3 linked regions of the Caenorhabditis elegans genome follow. The protein of the gene in region 2 interacts with the protein of the main gene of each other region in a pairwise test. Each region holds a gene or a part of one and is shown on either strand. Other genes may lie near its edges.

What was found.
Region 1: the proteins of nud-2 (region 2) and cec-2 interact in a two-hybrid assay, tested with the Caenorhabditis elegans proteins (one large-scale study listed by BioGRID).
Region 3: the proteins of nud-2 (region 2) and F20H11.1 interact in a two-hybrid assay, tested with the Caenorhabditis elegans proteins (one large-scale study listed by BioGRID).

The regions. Positions count from the first base shown.
Region 1 is NC_003282.8:1,168,665-1,172,418, forward strand, and holds the start of cec-2 (Chromo domain-containing protein), read left to right. Parts: upstream 1-2,043; 5' UTR 2,044-2,045; coding exon 2,046-2,144; intron 2,145-2,312; coding exon 2,313-2,502; intron 2,503-2,897; coding exon 2,898-2,953; intron 2,954-3,128; coding exon 3,129-3,614; intron 3,615-3,754.
Region 2 is NC_003279.8:7,857,634-7,861,387, reverse strand, and holds nud-2 (Protein nud-2), read left to right. Parts: upstream 1-1,970; 5' UTR 1,971-1,984; coding exon 1,985-2,194; intron 2,195-2,279; coding exon 2,280-2,670; intron 2,671-2,719; coding exon 2,720-2,835; intron 2,836-3,101; coding exon 3,102-3,266; 3' UTR 3,267-3,632; downstream 3,633-3,754. Other genes in the region: apb-3 (AP-3 complex subunit beta), read right to left, coding at 3,642-3,754. UniProt on the Caenorhabditis elegans protein: Part of a complex with lis-1, which is recruited to the nuclear envelope by unc-83, where, in turn, it recruits dynein to the nuclear surface and regulates nuclear migration in hypodermal precursor cells.
Region 3 is NC_003281.10:6,590,295-6,594,048, reverse strand, and holds the start of F20H11.1 (Differentially expressed in FDCP 8 homolog), read left to right. Parts: upstream 1-1,873; coding exon 1,874-2,150; intron 2,151-2,194; coding exon 2,195-2,343; intron 2,344-2,767; coding exon 2,768-2,924; intron 2,925-3,026; coding exon 3,027-3,291; intron 3,292-3,337; coding exon 3,338-3,467; exon of another isoform or gene 3,468-3,516; intron 3,517-3,754. Other genes in the region: let-765 (Protein strawberry notch homolog), read left to right, coding at 1-199, 248-472, 696-784.

The sequences.
Region 1 (3,754 bases), on a different chromosome or scaffold from region 2:
GCATGTGAGTGTGTCTCCGTCTCTCTGCGTCTCTCACTCTTACACACTCTCTCGTCGGGTCTCTGACTTCTCTCGCCTGTCGCCGCCCTTTCGTTTCACTTTTTTAGTGCATTATTTCTCATTTTTTCTTCTTCTTGTTTGCGGTTTTCATCTTGTTGTTGTTGTTTGTTTTTTCGATGTTTGAACGTTTTATGAGTCACGCATTGACCTTTTTCGCAATGGTTTTTGGCATTTTGTGAGGGTTCTCAGTGGATTTTAGGCCTAAATTTTGGGAGATTTCACGTGGTGTCAGGCTGTCTCATTGCGGTTTGATCTACGAAAAACGCGGGAATATTTTTCCAGAAAAATTGTGACGTCAGCACGCTCTTAACCATGCGAAACCAGATGAGATGTCTGCGTCTCTTTTCCCGCATTTTTCGAAGATCAAAACGAAATGGGACTTTCTGACTCCACGTGAGATTTTGCTTTTTTGTTCTGATTTTGCCCAAAAATTTGTTTTCTGACTTTTTTGCGCACTTGAGTTTTGCGTCAATGTCTTGAAAGGTCTCGGAAGGAAAATAGACGTGCCCGAGATCAGGCTCCGCCCACAAAATGGACGGAGATCCCAAAGGTCCATCTATTTACTTATTGTTTGTTAATCTGGAAAAATCGGATTTTCTTCAAAAGTTTTAAAATTTTTTCTCTAAAACTTTGAAATTTGCGCCGACGTAGCTTAGTAAAAGTGGGTGTGCCTTGTTAAGCTCCGCCCATAAAATGGACGGAGCTCCCAAAGGTCCATCTATTTACTTATTTTTTGATAATCTGGAAAAACAGGAATTTCTTTAAAAGGTTCACGTGGAGTCAGAATGTCTCATTTCGGTTTGATCTACATTAAATACGGGAGAAGAGACGCAGACAGCTCATTTGATTTCATGGTTAAGAACGTGCGGACGTCACAATTTTCTGGAACGATATTGCCGCATTTTTCGTAGATCAAACCGCAATGAGACAGCCTGACACCACGTGAAGGTTGAAGAACTTAGCTCTAATAATGAAATTCGCACCGACGAAACTGAGCAAAAGTTGTCGTAGTTTGTTAGGCTCCTCCCAAAAAAGGGGCGGAGCCTAATAGGTTCCTTTTTTTACAAAAATGTGGAAAAAAAATTCCGATACTTTCAAAGGTTTTGAATATTTATTTTTAAAATACAAACAAAACTTGATTATCGAAGTTCGGAAAAAATGCTCCGTTTAGGCTCCACCCACAAAAGGCGCGGAGCCTAACAGATTCATTTTTTGCAAAAAAAAAAAATGGAAAAATGCACGTGGAGTCAGAAAGTCCCATTTCGCTTTGATCTACGAAAAATGCGGGAGAAGAGACGCAGACTTTTCAACTGATTTCGCATGGTAAAGAGTGTGCTGACGTCACAATTTTTCTGGTAAAAAATTCCCGCATTTTTTGTAGATCAAACCGCAATGAGACAGCCTGACACCACGTGAAAATGTCGATATTTTCATTACTTTTAAATATTTCTTTTTAAAATATAAACATAACTTGATTATCAAACTTTGGAAAAAACTTGTCTGCCCGTTTAGGCTCCGCCCACAAAATGGTAGTTTATTTGCCCCTTTTTATTTTAGGAATTTGTTGGTTTTGGTCAAAAATCGAAGTTTTTGTATTTCGAGCCATTTTTTCTTTTAGAGGAGAGGATTAACCAAGGAGTGGGCGTGACCAATCAGGCTCCGCCCACAAAATGGCGGAGCTTATTACTACTTTTTTGCAAATCTAAAAAAATTCCCATTTTAGTCAAAAATACTTTCTTTTTTTTTTTTGAAAAAATTGAAAATGAATTTCCCGCCAAAATTTTTGAACTTCCTGTTTTTCGTTAGATTATAATTCAAATTTTTCTCCACTTTTTTTTTGGAAAAAATGTTTTTTAAAAAATAAATTTATTTTTTACCCTTTTTTTTAATTATTAGCGTAAACCTTTGTTTCCCCTAGAAACATCGATAATCAATTGCTACTTGCAGAACTTAAATATCGACTTAAAAATATTTTTCCATCACCAATGTCGCAATCGACATCATCCGAAGGAAGCGGTCCCGCAGCGAAAATCGCGAGGAAAAATTCACCGGAAAATGATCCGGAGACGGCGGAAATGTTCATTGTGAGTTTGAACACATTTTTACTGTGAAATATTGTATAATTCTGGAAAAACGACGTTTTTCTCAGTAGCGCGCACTTGCATTGGCGAGAAATTCAAAAATTCTAGTTTTTGGTTAAAAATCGTCGTTTTTTCTTTATCTAAATAGCTTTTTGATATTTTTAACTTCAGGTCGATGAAATAACGGACATGAGATACTCGACCACATGCCGTCAGTTGCAATTTCTCGTGAAGTGGGCGATTCCGGGCTCTGAAATGACGTGGCAACCGTTGGATGACTTCCCATTCGGGCTCAATCACTTTAGTATTCTGGATTATCGCAAAGATCACGAGGAAAAGTACGAAGCATGCTTGCAGAAACGTTAGTTTTTGTTGTTTTTTCTTGATTTTCTTTAATTTTTTCGTTGAAAATTGCAAAAATTCTGAACTTTTGCGTCATGGTGTACGTGCACAGCGGGCACGAGACTTGACGCGCAATTTAAAAAATACAATTTTTTCGCGAAAAAAACAGATTTTTCAACCTTTTTTCGTGGTTTTTCGAATTTTTTTCTTCAAAATTCAATTTAAAACGCATAAATTTTGTTAGAAAACCTATTCTACCCTGTTTTCTCCATAATTTATCGCAGAAAATTTCCAATTTTCAGTGAAATCTCAAAAAAATTAGATTTTCTTCATATTTTATTTTAAAAGCGTGTTTCAAACCTGCTTCAAATTAATTCTTAACCTAATTTCCGCATAAATTTCCTAAATTTTCAGAGCGGCGCTCAAAAGTCATGAAGGACGACGATCGAAGCTGGAATGTGAGCCGAAATGTACGAATTTATTGGAAAATTGTCAAATTTATGGATTTTTTTACTTAAAACTTGTGAATTTCACGCTTTTCTAACAAAAATTTGAATTAATTGTAAAAATATTGTTGAATCTGACGACGGAATTGCAGAAATCCCCGCAATTTGTCGTAAGATTCAGAAATTTTCAAATTTTTAGTCGAATCGCTCAAGAAATCGCTCAAAATCGTCGTCGAAACCTGCACAACGAACCGAGCCGATGACCCAACGCGAGAAATTTGACGCAATTCTTCAAATTTCCGAGATTTCCCTGGAAAAACAGTACAAACTTACCAATAAGAAGGTCCCGCGGCGATCACAGTTCACAGATCCGGATGCGCCGAAGAAAAAGTCAAAAGGCGCCCGCCATTATCGAGATCAAAATCTGAAAACCCTATTCAAATCCTCGCTTATCAGAAAATACAGAAAACCACAGGAGTCCGACGATGATTTGGAGCCCGATGTCGCCCAGGATTCACCCGAAAACACGCCCGCGCCGCCGACGAAATCGCCAGAAAGTTCGGGATTTTCGGAAAATTTGGAGAATTTGGGCGCCAATACGCCCTCGCCGAGCCCCGATTTTGAGGAAGAGCACTTGGAAAAGAAGCCGGAAACTGGGAATTTGACGGAAAATCGACCGAAAAGGGTACGGGATGCACCTTATCTTACGGAAAAATGCAGAAAAATTTGAAATTATCTCCAAATTGGCGTCAAATTAGGTGTTTTGGCGGTTTTTTGTGCAAACACCGCGAAAATACACCGAATCTTACGACAAAATACAAAAAA
Region 2 (3,754 bases):
CCTGGTTGGGTGGACGATTTCGAGATTTATCGTCATGAAAAGATGGCTTTGAAATTATTATTTTCCACTAGGCCAAATTCAAAATTCTTCGTTGAACGTTTTCAATTAATTTTCCGGGCGAGCATTGAAAATATATGTATTACTGTAGTTCTCTTAGTACGCAAGTTTTTTAATGCAGCATATTTGACGACATATTGTGTAACAGATTTTTGAAACCATCTTTTAAACTAAATGTTTTTTCTTCTTTTAATTTTCAACAATTGCTTTGAAATTTTGCACCATTTACTCTTTTACGAAATTTCTGTCTTCTATTCTTGGCAGTTTTGAGTGTTTCTAAACTCGGCATTTTCATTGCTAAACACGTATTTACTCAGCTTTTGCTTGCCCCCGAACAAAAAAGTTTTATGATCAGTTCAGTTTGTCAGAGCACCAAAATGTCAACACAGAGCTCTCGCTCTTCGATTGGCACTTTACGAGTGAAGTCAAATACTGATTTGATAGGCTTCTCAATGTGGAGGAATCTTTTGCGACGATCGCTTTCTTTTTTTGTTCACCTGTTCGTACTATTCAATTCTTCAGCAGAGTGATGTTAACCTTGATCGTGTCATGTCGACCTGAATAGGAAATAGATGAATCGTATAGTTTGTGTGTATGTGAAGCACTTTTCTCGTTCATTTACATTTTCGAATATCAAATTTAGGTGTGGTACTGCGGCGCGGGAAAAAACGCGAAAAACAGATTATACCACCCCCAACTCTCCTCGTGACGTGGCCCAGTGATTCGTGAATCCTATATTAACCGCTGAAATTGGTCATTTATTATCTCAACCGGTTTCGTGTTTCTGTTCACTAATTCGTACGATTTTCTGTGTTCACCACACCTAATCCAATTAGAACTCAACAACTCGATGAGTCATGCGTAGGCGTTTTGGAATTTCATTTTTTAAATGTTTGTTAATACATTTCATTCTCTCCAAATTCTCACTTACATCATTAGTCTCAATCGTTACAACTAAATTGACCCGCTTAACTTGAAAATCTTTCAAATAATATGCTCAATATATTCTGCATTCCTTATTCTATTTGTTATCAGTTATTATACGCGACCATTGCCGCTCCCCATTCCTCCGACTGCTGCCTATCGTGAGTTTGACCTGAATTTCGTGTGGGAAATTGGACTGTTATATGAATTTAATTTCTATTTCCGAAGTTTAATTATCGATTACTAAAATTGATTGCCATTTCTGGAATACTCTTTGAAGAAATTTACCAATTTTTCTTTTAACACAGATTTTCTTGAATGACTATTCTATTCTATTTACAAAAAGTGTTAATTTTTTCGGAATTAGTTTCTTATAGCAGATTTCTTTGAACTTCATCAGTGTATTAAACCCAAAAAACAGTAAAATTTTCCTTCAAAGTATTTTGAAATCTTCAAAGGTTATCTGATCTTAAAATTATTGCCTATTGGTGTTACTCGCACAGCTGTTCGACTTTTTGTAGCGGAAGTGCGGACGAGCTATGGGAGCAAGGACAAACACAGAGCACACGGCGGCCGGAGCAGCCGGAGCACCCCCACTTTTTTGTTTGCTCGAATGCCTTGTGTCAAAAACTTTGGAGGATTTTCCATCTTTCCTCAGAGAGATGACTTTAGCTGTCTATCAGATGATGGCGACCTTAGATATCCCGATTTATAAGAATACTGAGACTTTTCTTCAACATCGTTAAACCTCAAAAAACATCCATTTGCGGTAGCAACTAATACGTAGTTGCTTCTGTTTTCCTCCGTTCGACCAGTTCTCTTTTTCTCTCTTTCCCAAATGTCCATTCTATTCTCTCACTTTTTGTCCACACGTGGCCGAACGTTGTAAGGGTTTAGTGTGTTCACAGGCGGCATTATACGTTTTTTCCTACGATTCATAATTTTTGTTGAATATCCTGAACAATTTTCTAAACCTTTAATATTTTCAGATCATCAGAAATCAATGGATTTGTCTGAGGATCAAATTCGCGGACTACCGCACCATGAGCTTCTTGGTCATTTCTTGCAAATGCGCGAAGAGTTTAACGAGTTCCAGACAAGTTCCGCGGAAATTGAGAAAATGATGGATTCAGAATTGGATGATTTGAAAACACAACTGAAAAAAGCAGAAACCAGAGTACAGCAGATGACCACAGAGCAAATTAGGAACAAGGTTGGTACTATTTTTTACATTAAAATTGAAAAAAAAAACTTTATAAAATTTTTCAACTATAATTTGAATTTTGTGAATTTTAAAGGATCGACAGGACGATTCCCGTGTACAATTTGCACAAGTCGAAGAGCAATTAAGACGAGAAAACTCACATCTTCATGAACAATGTGAAAGTCAGAGAGAAAGAATTCGAAAACTGGAACAGAGAAACGATGTGCTCGAAACATCAGAAAGAAATAAGGAATATCTAGCATCTGATCTCGGATCGAAACTGGATCATGCTATTGAAAAGATAGCAATGTTGGAAAGTGAGCTTTATGAACGGCAAGTTGCTGCTGAAGAAATGCATAGATTACGAGAAGAACAACTTCGAACAACAGAACGGCCACGTTTGATTGTAGAACCATTGAGGAATGATCCAGAAATTCTGCCGGACGAGCCATCCCCAGGTCCAAGTAAAGAAGAGTTTAAAATGAGTAAGTATTTGTCGCATTTTGAGAATGAAAATAACTAGTACTATTTAAGGCTCGGAAGATGTTTTCATGGAAGACGTGCAGCACCACGAAGATGTTCGAATGGAGGAAACTATTGCAAAAATTGACGAAGTGCGCATCGATGACAATAAAAATATTCAAGAAAAAGTACGTAAATTTTCTTTTTTTGGTGGATTTTTGAAAGTAAATATCCAAATATTAATTCAAAGAAGACCTGCAAATTTCGATCAATTAATAGCTTCACACCTTATTTCGGAATGAAAAACATTTAGTCGAAAAACTCTTGCAGCGAGTTCTAATTCTTTTTTCCCTCACAACTATAAACGATAGCATCTCTAGATGCAGAATAGACCGAAAAAACAATATTTGCTAACCCATTTATAGTTCTCAGCCAACATTTACATAGCTTTCAGAGCCAACGAGTATCTACCGGTACGGGCGCCGGTGCTTGCATCAATCGAATCGTCAAAGACCTGATGACAAAAGTCGAGCGGCTCGATTCAATTTTATCGACGATTCGCGTGAGCAACAACTCGTCTAACAACAATTCCAGTCATCTTACAACGACACGGGCTTAACATTTCATTTTTTGGTTTTTCTCACCTTTCTCGCATACTGTGACTTTTCATTCACTCAGGGATCCTCCATTTCATCATTTCCTTCGTTTCTTTCCGTTATTATTCTTTTCCATGACATCCTGTATCATGCTTATGTTTTATTCCCACCCAATTGGTATTAGACCCCGATTTTATTTGCCCCGCCTTACTGTTGCTCAATATAAGTTCCACGTTCGCCATTCACCCACATTATTTTCCAAATTTCTAAAGTGCCTACATATTTCTAATTTTTCTGTTAAAAATTTATATATCCGTCACCATGAATAGTTAGTAAAGGAATGATTTCAAGAAAAAGTGAGCAAAATAAATAAATAAATACAATTTGAATTAATCTTTCTAGCAATTTTTGGAGACAGAGAACGCCAGCATTCGTCCTATCACCGAGTTGTCACAACAGCACTCAATCGATTTTTCTGAAACTGTCAGAATACAAACATCCTTTCGTGAAC
Region 3 (3,754 bases), on a different chromosome or scaffold from region 2:
ACAGCGAACACTAAGAAAGTTGCTGCGTTGGTTTATGGAATCGGAAAGATTCGAATGGACAATGGTGCTCGTCTTTATGCAATAACTCGTCCTTCCACTGGTCGTTCACCGAAATTGATGACAATGGCTGACTTGAGTAAACGTTTCCATAAAGTTTCAATCGATGAAGCCAAGGAGGTTTGGAAGCAGCAATACGATTGTGAGTGTTTTTAATGTGAAAACCATGTTGTAAATTTCTGAGTTTCAGCTGCTGCTAACATGTGTCAACACAACTACGTCTACGGCAAGTGTCGAACCGAATCAAACGGAACTTATTGCGAAGTCGGTCGTCGTACTCGTACCTATTTTGTGCTATCCGGCTCTGTTCTCTCCGTTTGGCCAATTGTGGAAGAAGTACTTGCTGGAAGTGATCGAAAGTCATCTCGAATGCAAGTGATTCGTGTACGAACTGAACAGGATCAGAAGATTGTTGGTAAGTTGGTGGTTTTTTTTGGAAAGTAACAACCTATAGAGATGTTTGATCAACGGCCTTTTTCACTTACTGATCAACGACAATAACATGTGTTGTTTGTTTCCATTTTTATGTTAGAACTGTTATCAATACAAGATTTTTGATTGAGCGCAGACATTTTCGAATATAATTTCTGAACGCTACTATTATTCCCACAATAAAAACCAATCAATAAATCATTCAGGCCTTCTCGTCCTGCCCACACACGTCCGCCATTTGGTGCAGCAACTCGAAACACATTGTGGTCGTAGTTACGTGAAAACTGAACCCTGATCGATATCAGTTTTCTCTCCAAATATTTGGTTTTCTTTTTTCAGTTTATTTTTTTTTTAGATTCCCATTTTGTTATCCATTTTCAGTACAGATATATATCTGCAGATACCACACATTCTCTCTTTTTTGTCATTTTTCTTCACCGAATATCTGGTTTTCTTCAATTTCCCATTTCATCTTTCCCGCTGAGAATTGTTTTTTAAAGTTTTCAATTCCCACCAACATTTGTTATAATTATTTTCTCCACATTGTTTCTCTTTCTTCTCATCATTATCATAACTTTTCTAATTGTATTAATTTTGGCTTAATTTTCCATTTTCCTCTCCCTTTCTTCCATTTCCCAATTTTCTGGTTTACAGGAATTTTTAAAACAATTCTTTGACAAGTTTTATTTCGGAACAGGCCTCCCCATTTTTCCTTTGGAGTTCACTAGCTTTAACACATGTTTTCTCTTACAATTCAATACATTTTTCATCTTTTTCCTCAATTTTTGGCCGGTCGATCCTTCCCATCAATTTCACCAGGTTTCAAGGTCAATTTTGATAAGAACATAAACTCAAAACTGCCAACCATTTATCAGTTTGACCTGGAAAATTTGATGGGAAAATGGAAAAAAAATAAATCGTCCAAAAATTGAATTTTTCTCGAGGTCTACCTGGATCTTTTTTTTTCTTTTTTTCCCTTTCGATACATTTGTGTTATTTGAGACGTGTAATAAAATGAATTGTTGATGAATTTAACGAATTGTTTGGAATTGTCGAGATTTATCAATTTCAATCATACTTTTTTTCTAGATAGTTTGATAAAATTGCAATTCCGTATAACGAAGATAATATAGAGAAAAAAACAAAATTAATTGTTTTTTTTTTCAAAATTTCTGATTGACCAGACTCGAAATTTTGCAATTTTGAGCAAAAAATGCAGTACTCGGTCTTGACACGACAATTTCTCTTTTATGCGAGAAGATATGTGCCTTTAAAGAGTACTGTAATTTCAAACTCGTTTCTGCCGATTTTTCATAGTAACACATTATTTTTGGCTAGAGAATCACAAAAAAAAAGAAAATTGCAAAAAGACTTAAAATTTTAGATGTCTTCTTGGTGTTCATCAGAAGATGCTCATAATCAATCTTCAACTCCTTCCACACGTTCCCGTAAATCATCTTGGCTTATTTCAAAAATTGATGAAAATGAGATTGATAAAGAAGTTCAAGAGATGATGGATGATTGGAGACGCAGCAATGAAGCAGAAAACCACGTGGAATGCATAAAAGCTGCATTGGAGTACTGTAGAGATAAACTAAAGGAACTGCTCATAGATGAAGAAGATACAGAAATGGATGGGAAAGAGACAAAGACGAAACCTAGTTGGTGTTTCCTATTTTTATGTAAAAAATGTGCAATATTACAGTCAACATTGTCTCTAACACAGAGTTCCCGGAGGATCGTGATGTTCTTGGAAATCTTGTGAATTGTCTTGATAGGCAACAAAAAGCAGCTCGACAACAAATGTATTTCGACAAAATTGTACAATTGGGACTGGAGAGGCAGGCTTTGCAGGTATGAAGACAGTGAATATGGTTTAAAGGCAAAATTTTGTTATTTTATACGGTACCCGGTCTGGAGAAATTGTTTTTTTTGCACATGCAGAAAGGTGTGCGCCTTTAAAGAGTACTGTAGGTTAAAAATTTTGTCTGCACAATTTTCATCGATATTGTATTCGAAAAAAAATCACTCATAAATTTAGCAATTCGTAAGAAAAAATTTTGCAGCAACGAAAGTTTGAAACTACAGTAATCTTTAAAGGCGCACGCATTTTCGAATTTAATACAGTTTGTCGTGTCGAGACCGGGCACTGTGTTTTTGCCGCAAAATTTTGCGTCAGGGGCCAAGTGCATCAAAAACTCCATGAATAGTACATAAATTAATTTATTTCGACGCTGTATGGTTTTTATATTTTCCAATTTAGAGTGAAAGTTTTCAGGATGAAGCTGTTGTTTCAACGTCATCTCCATTAGACGAGTGCCGTGCTGAAGGACATGAATTTGTAATGCAACCAGTTAGAGGTGGACATAATCCATGTTGTGAAGTTTGTATGCACACAATTTGGAGGCTCGTGCAATGGTGGAGGCGATGCAGAGGTATTGATAGACTTTAACTTCGTTCGAAGTAAAAAAAATATTTTGCCAAAATCACGAAAAAATCGAAACATTTCAATCCTGAATTACAGTAATCTTTTACAGTTTGTGGAATGCGTGCTCATGACAAATGCGCGGAAGAGGTGAAACGAGTGTGTGCCGGAGTTCTGTCAACTCGAGCAAAATTCGAATTAAACACAAATTTGTGTGAGGAACGAAGCCTCGCGGAGCAGGAATATCAATGTGCTGAATGTACTGCACCGATTTGCTTTGATGGAGTTGCTGAACAAGAAGCACGTCTTTGTGATTACAGTGGAGAGCTTTTTTGCCCAAATTGTCACTGGAATGATGTTTGGAGCATTCCTGCCAGGTAAGATCTCAGCTTTAAGAACACCTAAATTATTAAATTTCTTTAGAATAGTCCACAATCTCGACTCAACACCACGACCTGTCTGCCGAGCCGTCAAGCAATTACTTGCAATCATAGACCACCGACCGTTAATCGATATAAACGAGTCAACACTTTCGCTCATAAAATTTCATAAGGTAAAAAAGATTCTGGAGGTATGGGGAATTGAACCCCAACCCTCTCCCACAGGTGATTCGCAGTGTAAGCAAAATGCTTCGACGCACACAATGCTCGTGTTTGCGAAAATGTCTTGAGGTGGCTTAATCATGTCTTCGGGTAGTGGGGGTGGCTTATACAAGAACTGAAGTTATATTTTGAACTTTTTCAGCTGATATAAGTGAAAAAAAAGAAGCATAAATTGTTTTCGCAATGCCTCCTTTATGCTCGCGTTCGTTCGCAAAGACGAGCATTTTTCTCCATTTTT